Yarrowia lipolytica: one gene and its partner. The protein of the gene in region 1 binds, or shares a complex with, the protein of each later gene. Links are inferred from orthologs where the notes say so. Each region holds a gene or a part of one and is shown on either strand. Other genes may lie near its edges.

Region 1 (9,726 bases):
TCTCCAACCCGTCCAACCCGTCCAACCCGTCCAACCCGTCCATCTTTCACGTTCATTTGGCTGAACACATTACTGTTCCCCAAGAGCTGAACAGCTGCCAATCTCCAGTGGTTGTCGCTGTAATATATGTCTAGTCATGGGCCACAGATCCTTTTGTGTCACCTGTCTCATTTCTGGTTTGTTGTCCCTTTTGGAGTCTGGTTAGTCGGCCTCGCTCAGTTACTTGACTTTAGTTGACGAAAGAGAAAATTTTGGGAAAAAAATTGGAAAAAAATTGAAAAAAAAATTATGAAAAAATTGATGGAAAAATTGGAAAAATTGGAAAAATTATAGGGAAAAAATTGGCAAAAAAACCTGGTAGAAAATCGGAACATTGCAGTGAATCCCATGACATATTGACCTTTGATTCAAATTGATTCTTAGATTCTAATGCACACTCACGGTCCCCTAAATATTGTTGAAGGTAATACCCGGTGGCGGGTAATACCTGGCTAATTCCCTCACATAATGATGAGATTGTCACCCATAATGAGTGATGAGAGGAATCAGCTTGGTCTCGTAGACGAGATTGTCCATCCTGTAGATAGTTTTATTCCACTGATCTTAGAATCTCTTTTTCTGGTGAAATGAGCAAGCAACACACCCTTCTGGTGTTTGTGCTACTATCGGAACGCCGTGTCCCTAGAAGTGGGTTGTAAGTTGTTAATTAACTATATCACACCAATAATACTTATGATCTTCAATAAATATCTTCATCACCAGTAAAATAAATGTATACAAGTACATACGGGACAACCACTCACGTCAAACAATGAAGGAGACAGCTGCAATAACATTATATCGTTGTAACTGCTAGATCAAGGGCTGTTAAATGGTACAACTTTTGTATCCCTGCGATCATTATCCGCTGACTAATTGTCTGTGCTGGGGAGTTTTCTCCATTGAGTGGAGATTTAGGCTACAGTAGGTAGAGATGGGAGGTGAAAAAGGGGAGGTGAAAAAGGGGAGGTGGAAAAGGGGAGGTGGAAAAGGGGAGGTGGAGAAGGGGAGGAAGTGGTCACGTGATGAATATGATGGGCAGTTTCGATTTAATTAATAAGAAATTACTGATGTGAGACGTGCGTGTTCAGTCAACTAGTATGTCAACTAAAACCGAGCCAGGTAAATGAGTGAGCTGTGTAATTTTGATGTTGTGTGTATGTCTCCGAGTTCTCCTTCCCCCACTAAGTAAATAGAGTGACCTTAGATACTGTATACTTGACATTTTAGTTACGGGTGCACTTGTACAAGTCTTCTCACATCTCCACAACTCACACAACTTGATACCACATACATCCTGACACAAATATCCCCAATTCGTCGCAAAAAACACAAACACGTTCTTATTGGCTCTGACTCGATGGCTCTGGCAACATGGCGACTCAATGGCTCTCGCTCAATGGCTCTGACAACATGGCTCTGACTCAACGACCCTGGCTCTCGTAGTTCACAGTTTTATCTTGGCGCTGTCGTGTTGTGTTATCGGCATCGTCGGCTGGCGGCTGTAGTTCTGGCATGTTGCTGCTCGGACTGGCTCTTGCTCTCGCGGTTTGGCGAGTTGGGCACAAACGCTTTGCTCAAGGACGGTCTTCGCAGACGTTCATGCTCAGACGAAACAAGCTGGATCTGGATCAGGTTTGGATCGTGTGTCACCTGTTCTCTTGACCGAGAGTCCTGGTGTGCTGATACCAAGTCAACAGCAGATGGAGCGAGCAGACATATGATTATTCAACCGACAGTCCATCCCTCCAAAGCATTCAGTTGTCATCTCGGTGGATGACTCAGCAGCCCCGCCGCCCTTCTCACTAATCAAAGCGACAATTCCTCGTCCGAGATATGACCCAAACTCACTCAACATGGTTCTGGTGTTCCCTCTGGACATATTGCTGGTCTTTCTGCACCTTGGGTCCTCGACAATGGCCGGAAACGCCCCTTTGGCTGGAAACGTCCCTTTGGCTGCCTGATGACTCCTTTATCAGAGTGTATGCTTGTCCCTCATCCAACCACGTCTCGCCTGGATGAGGGGCCTGAGCTCCCGAGTGATAAAGGTGTCTCGCAAGTGTGGACTTGGTTGAAATGAGACAACGCTTTCCTTCAATGCTTTTGGTACTGTACGCACATGTTGGAGACGTTTGAATCGTCGTCATTTCAACACATTGACAGTGGAGTCTGTGTACCAACGATGACTGTCTACTGGTGGTCGTCATGACTGATTCATCACAGAACCAATGCACCAGAGATGTGTTGTAGCTAGAATTTTGCCACTACTACCTACATTCACCCTTCTCTCTACAGTACTGTATGTATATCCTATCATGATATATTCACTACTCTGGTGAGCGTTAGCTGTGTGTCCATCAGGACACCGCTGAGACCGGGTATGGAGGGTTGTCAGTGTCCGGAGCTCTGTCCTGATGTCTGGAGCTCTGACCCGGTCTCTTCCGGTCCATCCCAGTCTGTTTCGGTCCATCCCGGTCTCTTTGAGATCTATCCCAATCTCTTTTTTGGTCTGTCCGGTCGGATCCTTCTCATCTTCATCTTCACCTCCTCTTTTCTTGTGCTGACTGCTCAGTGTTTGCCAGGATCCAGACTATCTCTTCAGAATAGTGACAACATCCTCGTCCATCAACTCATGGGCCAAACCAACATACTGGGGCTGGTGCTTGACCGACTGACCGTAGACACATGCCGTCTTAAACTCCTCAACCAGACTCTTGTGGATCTGGTTACAGAAATGCTGGACGGTCGACCGACCATTCCGCAGAATGATGGGCTGCTCGTAGTCGGGCTGCTGGCCCTTGGGCTTGGTGTAGACCCGAACGAGGTTGAGTTTCTTCCACATTTCCTCCAGCAGCTCGTCCAGGTTCCAGCCATGCTCCGACGAAATGGGCACCGCGTTAGGGATTCGGTAAAGCAGATCCAACTCCTCAATGGAAATGCTGTCAATCTTGTTGAGACAATAAATGACCGAAATGTAGCGTCGGTTCTGCGCCTCGAGAATGTCAATGAGCTCGTCGACAGTGGCATCGCATCGGAAATGGATGTCAGCAGAATTGATTCGATACTCGCCCATCACCGCCCGAATCTCGTCATTGTCCAAATGGGTCAGAGGAACCGTGTTGGTGATGTTGATTCCACCCCGCTCCTTCTTCTTGAACAAAATGTTAGGAGGCTCCTTATTGATTCGAATACCAAATCCCTCCAGCTCCCGCTCAATGATCTTTTTGTGCTCCAGCGGCTTGTTCACATCCAGCACCACAAAAATCAGGTTGCACGTTCGAGCCACCGCAATCACCTGTCGACCTCGACCCTTACCATCCTTGGCTCCCTCGATAATTCCAGGAAGATCCAGCATCTGGATCTTGGCACCACGATACATAATCACTCCGGGAACAGTGGTCAGCGTGGTGAACTCATACGCCGCTGCCTCTGAATGAGTACCAGTCAACTTGGACAGTAAAGTCGACTTTCCAACCGAAGGAAACCCGATAAATCCAACCGAAGCAACACCAGTTCGAGCCACATCGAACCCAGCGCCTCCGCCACCACCTCCAGAGGAAGTGGGAGTCAACAGCTCTCGCTTCAACTTGGCCAACTTGGCCTTCAGCTGACCCAGATGGAACGAAGTCGCCTTGTTCTTCTGGGTCCGAGCCATCTCCTCCTCGATGTTTTTGATCTTTTCCACCGTTGTCGACATTTTGTTTTTTTTTGTGCAGTTGTAAAGGAGTGAATGGTTGAGTGCAAATCAATCGCTTATCTTTGAGGTTTGCTCTGTATCCATAAAGTGAAAATTTGAGATCACGTGAGTTACCCGGCGTGGCTAGTAATAAATTACAGTTTACTCGGTTTAGGGTTGTTGGGTTTAGGGCAGGGTTAGGTGGTTTGGGGGGTTGGGGTTTCCACTTCAAGACTGAATGTCGTTGAAGAATGGGCACGGGCACAATCAAACACATGTCATTATGGGAAAAAAGAATCTCAACCTCCCATATATAGCTTTCTGTATTATGTGAATATAATAAAATCGTTGGGTTGCTACGTTTCGGGTATCTTTCTACTGTAGGGCTGGGGTTAAAAGTTGAAGTATCTGTATTAGGGTTTGGTACTATGAATATCTCTAAATCACGTGTGTAGGTTGATGTGATTTGTAGAAAATGTATCGCAAAAACAAAAAGGTCATCTGGTTTTTATGTCTCCCGGCTTTACTTTGTAGACCCTTTTAATTCTTCTTTTATTCCTTCTTTTTATTTCTGTTTTTTCCCCCTTTTTAAAATAAATATATTAGAGCACATATCGACCTGATTTTGAGTGTATAATTAAATGACAAAGGTTGGCTAGATTTGGACATGGAAAAAGGGGGATCCGCAAAATAGAACCAGAGGTGCTATACTTGTACAAGTACTTGACGGACAGATTGTCAGGTGATAATTATTACCCGTCATAATCTGTATATCATTTTACACTGCTTGCTATTCATAACCTAAGGAGATGAGTTTGCCGTAATCTGAACATTAAGAGGTTTAGAATGGCATATTTTACAGGGAATTGGGGACAGACTGGAGACGGACATGGTGGCCATTTCTGCGACACTGGTTAGTTGGTGTTGAGGTACTGTAGTCCCAAAATTTAGTCATAACCTCTGCGACACACTCTTAATCTCTGATCTCCTCCGGGGCTGATTTCGTCGGGTGCAGACCAGGTCAGGGGAACGGGGAAGCCCTGCGATGTCGGATGAGTCATTTTTTCGGAGACGAATGTCGAGTCACGTGACCAGGCGAAGAGTCAACTGGAATTTCGATTGAGTCACATTCAGTCATGGAATTAAACGGGAAAAATAAAGATGGGATATACCGAAAATTGGAAAAAAAAAAAACAAAAAAAACCACCACAACGAATATCAGTATTTCGGGCTTTTTTATTTTTTATTATTTTAATTTATCTTCGACTACTGCAGTTATTGCGTGTTTATATAATGAGTGATAAATAAATGATGAAGAAATCCACTCGAAAAACATGATTTTCCCCGGCAGAAATTCGGGGGAAAAAAAGATTAAAAAAAAAGTCTGGAAAAACACCGGATGAAAAATTTGTGAAAAAATCGATGAAAAAAGTGAAGAAAAAAGCCAAGGAAAAATGTTGGAAATTCTGGGATAAAAAGGGGGCAAAAATTGTGATTTCCCTCCCGGTAATAATATGTCAGAGTTTTGTTTTGTTTTCATTTTCTTCATTTTCTTGTCTCCAATTCACGTGACAGTGAGTCACCTACCATAAACCAACGAGCCCTAACCTGTGAAATTTTGCATTAAATCTACCCTAGCAACACCCACTCGGATTCACCGACACAAACACAATGAATTTCTCCAAGGAGGAAGAAGCGGTGCTCAAGTTCTGGGAGGAGATTGATGCCTTCCAGACGTCACTCAAGCTCAATGCTGACAAGCCCCATTTCACCTTCTACGATGGGCCTCCGTTTGCCACTGGCACTCCGCACTATGGCCACATTTTGGCGTCGACCATCAAGGACATTGTGCCACGATATGCCCATATGACTGGGCATCATGTGGAGCGACGGTTTGGCTGGGACACGCATGGGCTTCCTGTGGAACACGAGATTGACAAGAAGCTGGATATCAAGGGCAAGGAAGACGTGATGAAGTTTGGTCTGGCCAACTACAACGAGGAGTGTCGAGCCATTGTGATGCGATATGCTGGGGAGTGGCGCAAGACGATTGGTCGGCTGGGTCGATGGATCGACTTTGACAACGACTACAAGACGCTGCAGACGTCGTTCATGGAGTCGGTTTGGTGGGTGTTTCAGGAGCTGTACAAGAAGGACGCTGTCTACCGGGGCCATCGAGTCATGCCCTACTCCACCGCTCTGTGCACGCCCATTGCCAACTTTGAGGCTGCTCAGAACTACAAGGAGGTGCTGGATCCCGCGGTGGTCGTCGCCTTCCCTCTGGTGGATGAGCCCGAGGTCAAGTTGCTGGCCTGGACCACCACTCCCTGGACTCTTCCTTCGAACCTGGCTCTTGCCGTGAACCCCAACTTTGACTACATCAAGATCAAGGACGGCAAGACCGGCGACGTGTACATTTTGCTGGAGTCGTTGCTGTCCACTCTGTACAAGAACCCCAAGAAGGCCGACTTTTCCGTGTTGGAAAAGGGCATTAAGGGCTCTTCTCTCAAGGGCAAGCGATACCAGCCTCTATTCCCCTACTTTGCCGCGGACTTTGAAGACTCGGAGGACGCCCGAAAGCTCAAGTTGACCCCGGGCTTCCAGGTCATTTGTGCCGATTACGTCACCGACTCCTCCGGTACCGGAATCGTCCACCAGTCTCCCGCGTTCGGAGAGGACGATTATCTGGCCGCTACCGACGCAGGCATCATTTCCGACAAGCGGTACCCCCCCAATCCCGTCGACGACGCCGGCAAATTCACCCCCGCGGTCTCCGACTGGGAGGGAGTCTATGTCAAGGACGCCGACCGGTCCATCATCAAGAAAATCAAGGAGATGGGCCGACTGGTGGTCGACGGCCAGGTGCGTCATTCGTACCCCTTCTGCTGGCGATCGGACACTCCTCTGCTCTACCGAACCGTGCCTTCGTGGTTCGTGCGAATCAAGGAGATGATCCCTCAGATGCTGGAAAACATCGACAAGACCAACTGGGTGCCCTCCAACATCAAGGATGGCCGATTTGGCAACTGGATCAAAAACGCCCGAGACTGGAACATTTCCCGAAACCGATACTGGGGTACCCCCATCCCCCTGTGGGTCTCCGACGATTACGAGGAGGTGGTTTGCGTGGGATCCGTGGCCGAGCTCGAGGAGCTGTCTGGAGTCAAGAACATCGACGACATCCACCGGCACCACATTGACGACATCACCATCCCCTCCAAGATGGGCAAGGGCGTGCTTCGACGAGTGGAGGAGGTCTTTGACTGCTGGTTCGAGTCCGGCTCCATGCCCTACGCCTCCAGACACTACCCCTTTGACCCCGAGTCCAAGGAGGTGATGGAGAAGGGCTTCCCCGCCGACTTCATTTCCGAGGGAATCGACCAGACCCGAGGCTGGTTCTACACTCTCACGGTGCTCGGAAACTACTTGTTTGGCGTGTCGCCGTTCAAGAACGTGATTGTCTCCGGCCTGGTTCTTGCTGCCGACGGCAAAAAGATGTCAAAGCGACTCAAAAACTACCCTGACCCTACCGAGGTGCTCGACAAGTTTGGAGCCGACGCTCTGCGGCTGTATCTCATCAACTCGCCGGTTCTGCGAGCCGACACCCTCAAGTTCCAGGAGGAGGGCGTTCGAGAGGTGGTGTCCAAGGTTCTGCTGCCGTGGTGGAACTCGTACAAGTTCTGGGAGGGCCAGGTGTCTCTGGTCAATAAGCTGTACGGTACCGAGTTCAAGTACAACCCTGCGCTCAAATCCGACAATGTCATGGACCGGTGGATTCTTGCGTCTCTGCAGTCGCTGGTGGGCCACATTCACGCCATGATGAAGGAGTACAAGCTGTACGCCGTGGTTCCTCGACTGCTCCACCTCATTGACGATCTCACCAACTGGTACATTCGTCTGAACCGATCCCGTCTCAAGGGAGACAACGGAGAGGAGGACGCCGTCAAGGCTCTCAACACTCTGTTTGAGGCCGAGTACACCCTGGTTCGAGCCATGGCTCCCTTCACCCCCTTCCTGTCTGAGACCATCTACCAGAAGATCAAGCCTTACATTGAGTTTGATTCTTCCGTGGCGGATTCTCGATCGGTCCACTTCCTGCCCTACCCCCAGGTTCGAGAGGAGCTGTTTGACGAGGACATTGAGCTTGCTGTGAAGCGGGTCCAGTCCATCATTGAACAGGGCCGAGTCATTCGAGACAAGAAGAACGTGCCTCTCAAGACCCCTCTCAAGTCGCTGGTCATCATCCACACTGACCCTGCCTACCTCAAACACGTGCGAGACCTCGAAAAGTACATTGTCGAGGAGCTCAACGTGCGACAGGTGGTCATCACCGACGACGAGGCTGCCCACAAGGTGGTGTACAAGGCCCAGGCTGACTGGCCCGTTCTCGGCAAGAAGCTCAAGAAGGACATTGCCCGAGTTAAGAAGGGTCTTCCCCAGCTGTCTTCCGAGGAGGTTTTCAACTACCTCAAGACCAACAAGTGCACTGTCGACGGCATTGAGCTGGTGGAGGGCGATCTGACCATTTCGCGAACCATTGACGACTGTGGTGCCGGGTTCGAGGTCTCCTCCGACCAGGACGTGCTCTGTCTGCTCGACACCAACGTCTACGACGAGTACAAGGGCGAGGCCACTGTTCGAGAGGTGCTCAACCGAGTCCAGAAACTGCGAAAGACCCTGGGACTCGAGGTCACCGACGATGTCCACATTGAGTACACTGTTGTGAAGGACTCTGCTGATCTCAATCTGGAAAAGGCCATTGAGAACAACTCGGATCTGCTCACCAAGACTCTTCGACGACCTCTCCGAAAGGAGGGCGAGCACGAGGCCCACAAGGGCGAGTACATTGGCGAGGAGAAGCAGGAGATTAAGGACGCCGAGCTGCTGCTCAAGCTATTCAAGCTCAAGATCTAGATCAAGCGTCTATTGATGTAAATGAATTGATTGTGAAAGTAAAAGTGTGAGTTCAAGTAGATCGGAGGTAGTGAAGTGGTATCAGGATTCCAAACAGCAAGATGCGATATACAGCAAATAAAACGAGACAGCCAAATTCCAAACCAATCATGTTTTTTTTTCCTTTCCTTTTTTTAATTTTTTCTTTCCTTCAATTTTTTCTTTCCCCTCTTTGAGCCTCACCGAAACAACGGGACGATAAAACAACAACAACAAGAAAAACAGATAAAACCAACTCCACCGTATTCGCCATAGCCGAAATATATATATGCTATCTTCTCCGATGAAATTAATCCAGCGGTTCAGTCTCAAATGGCCGGTAATAATTGGTTTTGTATTAATTTTTTTTTTTTATTCTAATGATTCATTATTTTTGAACTTTTTTTATTTTTATTCTAATAAACTCACGTGATCCTCTTTACCGGATTATAATAGATTTTTTCATTTTTCAGACTCAACTTTTTCTGAGACCGGTGGCGTAATGGTAGCGCATTGGATTTCGGTTCTTCTGAACGACGTCCTCCAAAGGCTGCGGGTTCGAGTCCTGTCGTCCTCTCTTTTTGCCCTCAAAATAGCCCCAAAAAACCCTCTCCGATTATATTTTGCCTCTCTGAGTAACTTGTCTGAGTAACTTGTCTGAGTAACTCGTGATTTTTCCCTCCATTTATGTTCAACGATTGTGGCTTTCTTTTTGGTCGTGTGAGCAAAATCCTACACAAGTATGGGCCACCACAACTGCGCGAGAAGCCGCTATTTGTGGAAAATAAAAGACATTTTTGTACTGAAACACGACCTCGGGGTTCCAATGATATAAATATTTCCCGCTTCTGACCACTGCTGCGACAGTTCAAGGGGTAGTCATGTCCATGTATTAGAGGACCTGAATAGTAGGGGTCAAAAAAGTGATTATCAAGAATAAATAAATAAACAATTGTTAGTACACTCAGATACAAGCTCTCAGGCTCCGCATCTACCTTCGTCAGTCTGTCCTCCAGTCCTCCACCCTCCCCAATTGTGTTCTGTAGTGAACCAGTATCTCACTCACCACCCAAATTGTC
Region 2 (9,575 bases), on another chromosome or scaffold:
TCCTGTGCCTAACTGTAATTGGCGGAGTCCAGTGGACCCGAAATCACGGCGTTGGGCCCGTCTCAGGCGTGTGGGGGTAAGTGGGGGTACAATATGAAGATGTAGCTGTGGACGTACCATGTGCAGCCGTCGTTATTTTTCGGGTTTTTTGCTTTGTGTCATGGAGTAGCCCCTTTTATTTCTCTTTCAAATTTCACCTTTCAAATTTCACCTTTCAAATTTCACTTTTCAAATTTCAAACAATGGATTACTTCCCGTCTTGAAATCGAACTGACGATACTAACTGTATACGCCGGCACTTACAGTACATTCGACATGATGCATTGGGTTTGGACGTGGCAACTGTTACGTAAGTGAGAATCAGAAGAAGTCGGTTAATTCCCTCAATTGGTGGGTTGGAGCGATATAACTCGTACGTCTAGGTTTCCTGACATTCAGCTATTGTCACATTTAATATCTTCTCGAAATATCCTTTCCTGCCCTCACAATAAGCAACTCTCTTGCAGTTACCCGCTACACTCACTTGCTACGCTACGATTACAATACAAGTCTAACCATCAACACTCCCCCACACCCCAACATGTCCGTGTCCCAAACCGATTCTACCGTGACTGTCACTATCGGCTCGTCCGAAGTCAAGATCCTACGATACGGAGCCACCGTCCTATCGTGGACCATTGACGGCAAGGAACAGCTGTGGCTGTCCGAGTCTGCCAAGCTCGATGGCTCCAAGGCCGTGCGAGGAGGCATTCCTCTTGTTTTCCCCGTTTTTGGCAAGTCCACCGAGGGCCCCACTTCGGCCCTTCCCCAGCATGGCTTTGCACGAACCTCCACCTGGGAGTACCTTGGTCAGACTTCGGAGAAGCCCGTGGCTGCCATCCAGTTTGGTCTGGGTCCTGAGAACCTGTCTGACGAGGCCAAGAAGCAGTGGGACTACAACTTCACTCTGATTTACACCGTGACTATCGACGACGCCAACAAGACTCTCGAGACCCGAATGTCAGTGGAGAACGCTGAGCAGAACAAGCCCTTCGACTTCAACATCCTCTTCCACACCTATCTGCGAGTCCCCGAGATTGCCAACGTCGAAGTGACTGGTCTGCAGGCCGTCCCCGTCAAGGATAAGGTGACTGTTTCTTCCTACGTCGAGCAGGCCGCCAAGGTGACTGTATCCGGAGAGGTCGATCGAGTGTACGAAAATGTGCCTGGAGCTGTCAATGTCGATGTCGAGAACAAACCCTACCTAACCGTCACTCGAGACAATATCAACGACGTGGTGGTGTGGAACCCCTGGACCGAGAAGGCCGAGGGTCTCGCTGATTTCACCCCCAAGCAGGGCTTCCACCATATGATCTGCATCGAGGCAGGAGACGTGGCCAAGTGGCAGAAGCTGGCCGCTGGCGATAAGTGGGAGGGTGGCCAGAAGATCAAGGCTCATTTGTAGACAAGTGTACAACGAGTTTCTTAGGCGAATGAATTTATTGTTGATTTGGGGGACCCGGAGGATTGCAACCGTGTCAATGGATACGATTGACTCATATTTCTGTTTCCGAGACGTAGTTATAGGATTTCAAGCTGACAAGCAACGGATTGTACCCCCTATCTCCATATATAACCAGCACTTCTAACATACAGTATTGTAGCAACATGTACTGAGCGGAAAGAAGTCAAGCTGCCCACGAGAGCATTGCTGAACAGTGCAATGTCATAATAAGAAGGATGTTAGTACATTATTCCAAATCTTCCTGTAAGAGAAACACATCAGTCATATTTACACTCATCACTTCCCAGGTCTGTATGCTCTAGGATAATCGACCAGCAATCGCCGTTCTGGGCTAGTGTCGCACCTCTGTATGCTCTGCATCATTCCTTCTTGCACATCTATTTTTGTTAGTGGGTCCATTGGAAGGTGCACATATTGGTGCACATATTGAGGCTTTCTGCGATACAGAAACGGGATATAATTATACCATTAGAGTCGCTGGGGAATTCTGCATTTAATGGCATACATTTTCTTCTCCTTTCACGGGTAATTTCGTCAGTTGTCGGACATATCGTTAACACCAAGTGCGCGCCTCCGCTACGCAACCTTGGTATGTCCGTCCATTTATCAGCACCTTATTTTTGTCCGCCCAACCTTGCTTGTAAGGCGTACGGTTCGAGAAGAGCCGTTACACCTTGCCGAAGGAAGCAAACGCAAAGCAGGTTGTTGATCAGAATAGGCTTTTAGAGGACATGCCGAATGCGAGGGAAGGTAGCAAGTTTTGGGTGAAGAGGCGGAGGTATTGAGATGGGGAGGTTTACAATCGATTTTTCGAGTCTTGTTTACTCGATTCGACCTTTTCCGCGACAAAATTGACCCATTACAGCCCGTTTTTATTGCTGCCATCTTTTTCTATCACTGTCTAAATCTGCTACAATAGTATGAACTGAATTGGAGCGAACCTTCATAATTGTTCCATGACATGACAAACTGACGGACATAAGAAATGCAATGTAGATGAAAGTTGACGGAGATCAAGTACATAGTGGAGGATATATAACAGTGCACTGCTGCCGGAAGATACCTCCTGACATCCCATAACCCACACATCCAACACACAAACACAACATGTCTACTACACCCACCACTCTCATCACTGGAGCCACTGGCTTCATTGCCGGCCATTGCATCGAGCAGCTTCTGAAGGCCGACCACAAGGTCATTGGAACGATTCGATCGCAGGAGAAGGGCCAGCGATTGGCCGCTGCTTTCCCCGAGGCCATCAAGACCGGCCAGCTGGTGTTTGAGACTGTTTCCGATGTCCGATCCGAGCAGGAGTTCAAGACTCTGTTCCAGAAGCACACTGACATCAAGTATGTGCTCCACACCGCCTCTCCCTTCCATTTCAACGTCGAGGACCCCGTCAAGGATATGCTTGAGCCTGCGGTTGAGGGTACTCTGACCGTCCTCAAGACCGCCAAGCAGTACGCTCCCCAGGTTGAGAAGTTCGTCATCACTTCGTCTTTCGCCGCCATGATGAACTGGCACGAGGTTGGCGACTCCTCCGCCGTCGTCACCGAGAAGTCCTGGAACCCCGTCACTTGGGACGAGGCTGCCCAGAAGGGCAATGTTGTCGTAACCTACCTGGGCTCCAAGAAGTTCGCCGAGAAGGCCGCTTGGGATTTCATGGAGTCTGAGAAGCCCTCCTTTGGCCTCACCACTGTCAACCCTGCCTACGTCTTTGGTCCTGGTATTGCTATTGATGCCAAGGCTCTCAACACCTCCAACGAGGTCATTGTCCAGGGAGCTCTCTCTACCAAGCCTGGTCAGGATGCTCCTGCTGGCCCTGCCCAGATGTGGGTTGACGTGCGAGACGTGGCCAAGGCCCACCTGTCTGCCATCTCCAAGACCCTAGACAACCAGCGTCTCATGCTGTGCGTGTCCAAGTTCTGTAACCAGGATCTCCTTGACGTGATCAACGAGAAGGTGCCTGAGCTCAAGGGAAAGATTGCTACCGGAAAGCCTGGAACCGGAGCTGAAACTGACAAGGAGGGCTTTCAGTTTGATAACGACCAGACACGAAAGGCTCTCAACTACGACTGGATTCCCCTTGACAAGTCTGTGGCTGACTTTGCTAACCAATGGCTGTCGTTCCAGAACTAAAACGTTCGAGAGCGAAGCCCGAAGAGTCCTTCCAGTGATTTGACTGACCCCATAACCACCAATAGATATAGATGAATGGATAACTTATAGAATCATTCAACTTAGAGATGATAGAACGCGGACTACACAAGTACAATACTGTACTCGTACCAGTACATACCATACACATAACGTAACCCAACATATATTACTAGAGATGTATGTACTCGTCGCACGAAAAGCAAGTGTCTGACTGCCTCTTGCAGACGCTCAGCCTGCGGTTTCGTCATCTGCTCTTACAACTTTGCCTTTTCTTGAGTGCCCACACCTCCACTGGTAGCAGCAACATTGCCTCTGATACCGCCGTTCTCAGGAGCCTTCTCATCGCCAAAGAAAACCACCGTCACGGTCAGGTCGTCTCGGTATCGCCGTGACTGAGGAGCAGGGATGCTCAGAAGCATGGACAGCTGTTCCCGATCGGCTCCTCCAAGAGCGTTTCGAATCAGGTGAGTTGCCACGTTCTCATCCTCAACAGTGGGCTTGAGAACGGCACCCTGGTGTCGGAAAGGAGGCTTCATGGCGTCCTGGTCGACTGTCAGATCAACCACCTTTGTCGAGTCCTTGCTGCCAAACATCTTGTCCCACATTCCTCCAGACTTGGCCGAAGCGGCGGTGGAAGACTCGGTGATGGGGTGAGTCTCCATCCACTGCACGACCAGAGACACCACCTCGTCGTTGGAGAGCATCTCGAACAACCCATCGGAGCCCATCACCAGAAAGTCACCACTCTTGACCTTGGTGGTAGTCACCTCAGGCTCAGCTGTGACGTAGGGAGGCGACCTCAGCTCCGGAGGCGTGCTTCGGCCGAAAAAGGCACGTGCCACCTTATCTTGCAAGTCACGTGTCCACTTGTATCGGGCGTCTCCAAACGCTCGGGTGGGTTCCAGACCGCCCAGAACTCGGCCCCGTCGAATCACACGGTCCTCTTCGCCAGGATGCTCTTTTCGGATTCGGTCAGCTTCTCGCTGGTTGGAGCCAGTCTGGTCGACAGACAGGGCACGTGCAGTCCATCCAGAAGAAGACTTGGAGCCGAGAACAGCACGAGAATCGCCGGTGACAGCAACTCGAAGAGTGTGAGACAGGGTATCATAGAATGCCAGCAGACCACAGGATCCAGAAACGGCGGGAGCCAGCGTCTCGGGAGACTGGCCCTTTTGGGGGTTCTTGAGCAGTCTGTTAATGGAGTGGATGCAGATCTCGTCATCCAGAGCCAGGAAGCCTCTCTTGATAGCCAGATCGATGGTTTCAGGGCTGGGAGTTCGTCGTATGTTATCGCCAAGCGTCTTGCCAGCATCGCTGTAGCCCGCATCAAGCTGTCGAATCACATAGTTGATGAGCTCTTCTCTGAGCTTGGCAGAGGTGGTCCAGCCTCCATGGCCGTCATACAGGCCCCAGAACATCCAGTCGGACGAAGCGTTGGCGTTTCCAGCTTCATTCAGAGCCACAGACACCACCCGGTCGGAGTAGTCGTCCTCAATGGGCGAATTGGACGGCAACTGCGCCATATCGTATCTCAGTACCCCGCGTCCTCGCTCCACGAAATGACTCTGCTCATGCTCCCGCAGTCGCGCGTTGACCCGCTCGGGATTCATAATGTTCATTCGTCGGCCAAACGGATCGTACCCTCCAGCAGCATTGGTGTTGATACCTCTGCTGTCCAGAGCAATGGGGTCCATAAGATACTGGTGGCCCATGTATGCGGTGGCGAGCACGAGCCCGGAGGCCAGGCCGTAGAGAGCCCGTCGAGAGGCCACAGGTTGTCGGTTGGACATGGTAGTCATGTATCGTTTGGAACTTCGTAGCATGTTAACAGACACAGTAGGAGGTTCAGCACTGCGGGTGTACTGTATTAATGGGTTTAGCTCAGTGGATGCAAGGACATCGTAGGGAACCTCGCCTGGACTAAATATCACGGAAGAATTGCTCAGGCAAAAGGGATATACATTCGGGTTCAGCAAGGCCGCAATTGTACAGAGTCTCTCTGTCATGGATTGCAAAAAATATATTTCTTCTTGATTAGTAATCGCACACTCGATAATTTATTAGAGTTTCAAATTAAGCTTTATCTGCCCCCAAAAAGAGTAGGCGACACGTGACCAGTTGATAGATTATGACAATGGCGGATCGTTCGATAAGGAGTACGTGTTGATGGTGTATCAGGTTCCCTAACACGGACCAAAATTTCCCCTTTTACCTGGCTTCTCAGAAGTCACTCGATTCTCGCGTGACATCCTCACCTCCGGACTGAGAAGTCGCCCTGCGTAAATCTCGGACTGCATTTGAAAGCAAGAGTGAAAATTGCCTAAAGTGAAAAAAAACCATGTAGGCATACTACACCACTACACTACACGACCCAGCAAGATGCCACCCAAGCAGAAGCTCAACGAGAAGAACAAGGCCGCCAAGCGACAGGAGCGGGCCAGCGACAAGACCTTTGGTCTCAAGAACAAGAACAAGTCGTCCAAGGTTCAGCGATTTGTGCAGCAGGTTGAAGCTACAGCCTCTGGAGCCGACAAGAAGAAGCAGGCTGAGAGAGAGCGTAAGGAGGCCGAGAAGAAGGCTGCCGCTGCGGCCAAGGCCGAGGCCGCCAAGCTGTTTGGCTCCGTGGTGATTACCCAGAAGGTTCCCTTTGGAGTTGATCCCAAGACCGTGCTGTGTGCATACTTCAAGGAGGGCCAGTGCACCAAGGGCACCCGATGCAAGTTTTCGCACAACCTGGAGGCTGACCGAAAGACACAGAAGAAGGATCTGTACACGGACGCGCGAGAGCAGGAGAAGGAGCAGGGCATGGACACCTGGGACGAGGAGGAGCTGCGAAAGGTGATTCTGTCCAAGCATGGAAACCCCAAGACCACCACAGATATTGTTTGCAAGTTCTTTCTGGACGCCATCGAGGACTCCAAGTACGGCTGGTTCTGGGTCTGTCCCAACGGCGGCGATCAGTGCAAGTACAGACATTCTCTGCCACCGGGCTTTGTGTTCAAGACCAAGGAGCAGAAGAAACTGGAAAAGCTTGCGCTGGAAAAGCAGCCCAAGATTACTCTCGAGGACTTTTTGGAGACAGAGCGTGCCAAACTGCCCAAGAACCTTACTCCTGTGACTCTGGAGTCTTTCAACAAGTGGAAGGCTGACCGAATCAAGGCCAAGGAGGAGGCTGCTGCTGAGGAGGCCCGAAAGCTGACCCAGAAACAGATGTCTGGTCGACAGCTGCTGCTTACCGGAAAGTATGACGATGATGAGGAGGACGATGGAACTAACGGTACCGCCTGGGACTTGTCTGAGTTCAAGCCCAGTTTGGATATTGTCGATGATGAGGAGTAAGCACAAGCGTCGGCGAGTGCTTGTGGTCATTGGGTATTGTCGTTGTGGCCTTGGTCGCATGAACAGACCCTCCTCCCTCCAGAGAACGGGTGTTACTTACTACATGCTCAACATATACAGAGAGCCATCAGTACTGTACACCAACTAACCGAAGCGGATTTCACAAAAGAAACCGCTTCAACACCTGCATTATAGCAGGTTGCATGCCTCATTACTTGGCTACTTTTTATTTCTATAGGAATACATCGTGTAGAGACAGCTTGTAACCATGTTAACGACCAACGCAGGGTCTGGAAATGACTGTACGTGATTGTCAATTGACCACCAGTGGCCATTGCTGTGGAAAATTATCGATGACAACTGTCGGTTTATGCCTACGCTTGCAAGCAAGGAGACTGTGTAGATACTTGTACTGGTACCGCTCCCTCTCGTTCGATTCCGAGAATGGCTTGATAACAAAGGAGAGCAGACTCACGGGGCACGAGATTCGAGCGCGATGACTAAGTGTCAGCGTTACTAATCATTGATTCCTGATATATATGGTAAATGTGGACCACTCCGAGACGGCGGTATGCATCGCACGGCTGATGTCGGAGGGACCCAGCAGGAAGTCACGTGAGTTTGATATCCCCAGGGAACAGCTGATTTTCCGGAGACATTCAAATCACGTGACTCGATGTACTACTTGTCTTGTTCTTGTACTTGCACTTACACCGGGCAGTAGGTAGCGTACTTGTACTCTGTTAGCGGAGTAGACATATGGTACATGCCGTAGTTGTACCGTAACAGTGTACTCACACACGTGGTTGTATGCAAATGGACGCTCTGTCTGGCACGTTACCACTCCTACCCGCCCAACGCCGTCTGACTGCACTGCCCCACATGGCGTAAAAACCAACTTGACAACTTTGTTAGCTTTTAGTTAGGTTCGATCGGCCCAAAGACGTGAGCTGATTTGTCGATGTCTCTGTCTCTCTCTGTCGAGTCTTAGCCCGCTTTTAGCCTGGAGTCAGCTGTTATAGGGGCCACTGACAACAAGTCTCCCGCGGCACTTGTACAGGTACAGTACCGTATGTACTCGTACAGTAGATACAGGCACTCAGGGGTAATGTCTTCTGACAGTTTGCGAAAATTCTCGAGAAAAATGTGACAAACCAAGCAGCAAAAAAAACAGTGGAATGCAGGAGTCTGGTGGATAGGGGCACAGGGGTGCAAGTAAGCAGGGTCACCAAATGAGTCCGTTCTATGGCGCCAAACATTGAGCTCGGCCCATTATCGACGAAAATAACTCACCACAGCGCCCTCGTTCAAGCTCCAAATCACTATACAAGTAACTGCTCACTCGTACAAGCCACCGTACTAACTGTACTGACGTCCTGATAGACTCTTTGGGACCCGCCCACCAACCCTGCGGCATGTCCCACATGAGGCTATCAGCCGCATAGTTGGATCTACAGAAGCCAAGAGGGATATACGAGTAAAGAGGAGGGGAAGGAGGAGGGGTGGGAAAGTGGGGCATTGGTGGGGACTGCGAGAGAAGGGGCGTTCCACCGGGACGGTGTATCACGTGACTGTCTCTCCTTTTGGGCTCTTTGGTCCCAGGGCTGTCCATCATCTGTTGTCTGACATGTCCTCTCCTGCATGTTGTTGCATCGACCATTGTTTTCATTTTTCATTCTCAACAGTAAAAAGTCTATTCCTGCGCCCTCGGCAGCACAGCAGACTTTTGGCCATCATCCATATATAGACAAGAGGGGGCGCGTGCGTTCGACAGATCCACCCAGAGCTGAAGCAGAGAGCTACATCACCATCGACCGTTCGGCAGCGACATACACGGGGCGGCGTCACACCATTTCCAACACTCACCGACGACTCCAACACTCACCAACCATCCAACATGCTGCTCCTGAACATGCTCTCTCTGCTGCCTGTGGCGCTCGCCTACAACACGTTCCAGAACGCGGCCATCGTCGACCCCGCGACCTTCTCAGCCACCACTGAGGACGGGCAGGTTCTGCTCATCGACACGTACAACTTCAAGACGTGGTCGATGGACGACCGACAGTACGTGGGCCAGTGGAACCCCTTCGACAAGCTGCGAACTAGAGCCAACGACACGGGAATGGTGATGCTGTCGCATTTCCGAGACGAGTCCGGCAACTTTGTGGGCTCTTACGACGACAAGACCGGCGAAATCACCAACTCGGGCCGAGTTGTGGGCCATGCCAACGACACGGGCTTCTTCGACGTGACCGGAACCCGACGAGGACTGGCCAAGGACAACTCCACCCGCCAGTTCTATGCACCGGACCAGTCGTTCATTGGCGGCGTGTTTGTGGAGCCCAAGGTCGGCCCTGGCTCCAGCGGATTCACCTGGGACGACCTCAACAAGGACTACAAGGATATCGCAGCTACCATTGGCCCCCAGGCTGGAATTGTGCGAGATCTGAGCGGCCTTCTCTCCCCTCGAACTCGATTCTACATTCGTAATCCCCAGTTTGGAGATGGAGCCGAAATGGTTTACATTCGAAACAACACTATGGATACCCTGCAGATCGAAACCGACTAC

The links.
Region 2: the proteins of YALI1_A00325g (region 1) and YALI1_D09000g are in contact, whole or in part, in a crystal structure (PDB 4A9A), measured with the Saccharomyces cerevisiae proteins. The link is inferred for Yarrowia lipolytica from reciprocal best matches to the Saccharomyces cerevisiae genes RBG1 and TMA46. Residues at the interface, in NP_009364.1 of Saccharomyces cerevisiae: Ser83, Lys84, Leu85, Thr86, Gly87, Thr88, Glu89, Val106, Ile107, Arg108, Tyr109, Lys110, Gly111, Lys113, Leu150, Val152, Pro155, Leu156, Lys159, Leu249, Ile252, Asp253, Ser254, Leu255, Ser256, Ile257, Glu258, Glu259, Leu260, Glu261; in NP_014734.2 of Saccharomyces cerevisiae: Gln217, Pro218, Lys219, Ile220, Thr221, Leu222, Glu223, Phe225, Ile226, Glu227, Glu229, Arg230, Leu233, Lys237, Leu238, Thr239, Pro240, Ile241, Thr242, Ile243, Asn245, Phe246, Trp249, Lys250, His253, Lys257, Lys269, Pro270, Thr271, Gly272.

Annotation. Positions count from the first base shown.
Region 1 is NC_090770.1:26,609-36,334, reverse strand, and holds YALI1_A00325g (uncharacterized protein), read right to left. Parts: upstream 3,737-9,726; coding exon 2,630-3,736; downstream 1-2,629. Other genes in the region: YALI1_A00309g (uncharacterized protein), read left to right, coding at 5,387-8,629. UniProt on the Saccharomyces cerevisiae protein: Involved in ribosomal function.
Region 2 is NC_090773.1:896,526-906,100, reverse strand, and holds YALI1_D09000g (uncharacterized protein), read left to right. Parts: upstream 1-6,046; coding exon 6,047-7,006; downstream 7,007-9,575. Other genes in the region: YALI1_D09055g (uncharacterized protein), read left to right, coding at 581-1,444; YALI1_D09034g (uncharacterized protein), read left to right, coding at 2,612-3,646; YALI1_D09004g (uncharacterized protein), read right to left, coding at 3,922-5,673; YALI1_D08983g (uncharacterized protein), read left to right, coding at 7,546-7,730, 7,782-7,932; YALI1_D08971g (uncharacterized protein), read left to right, coding at 8,904-9,575.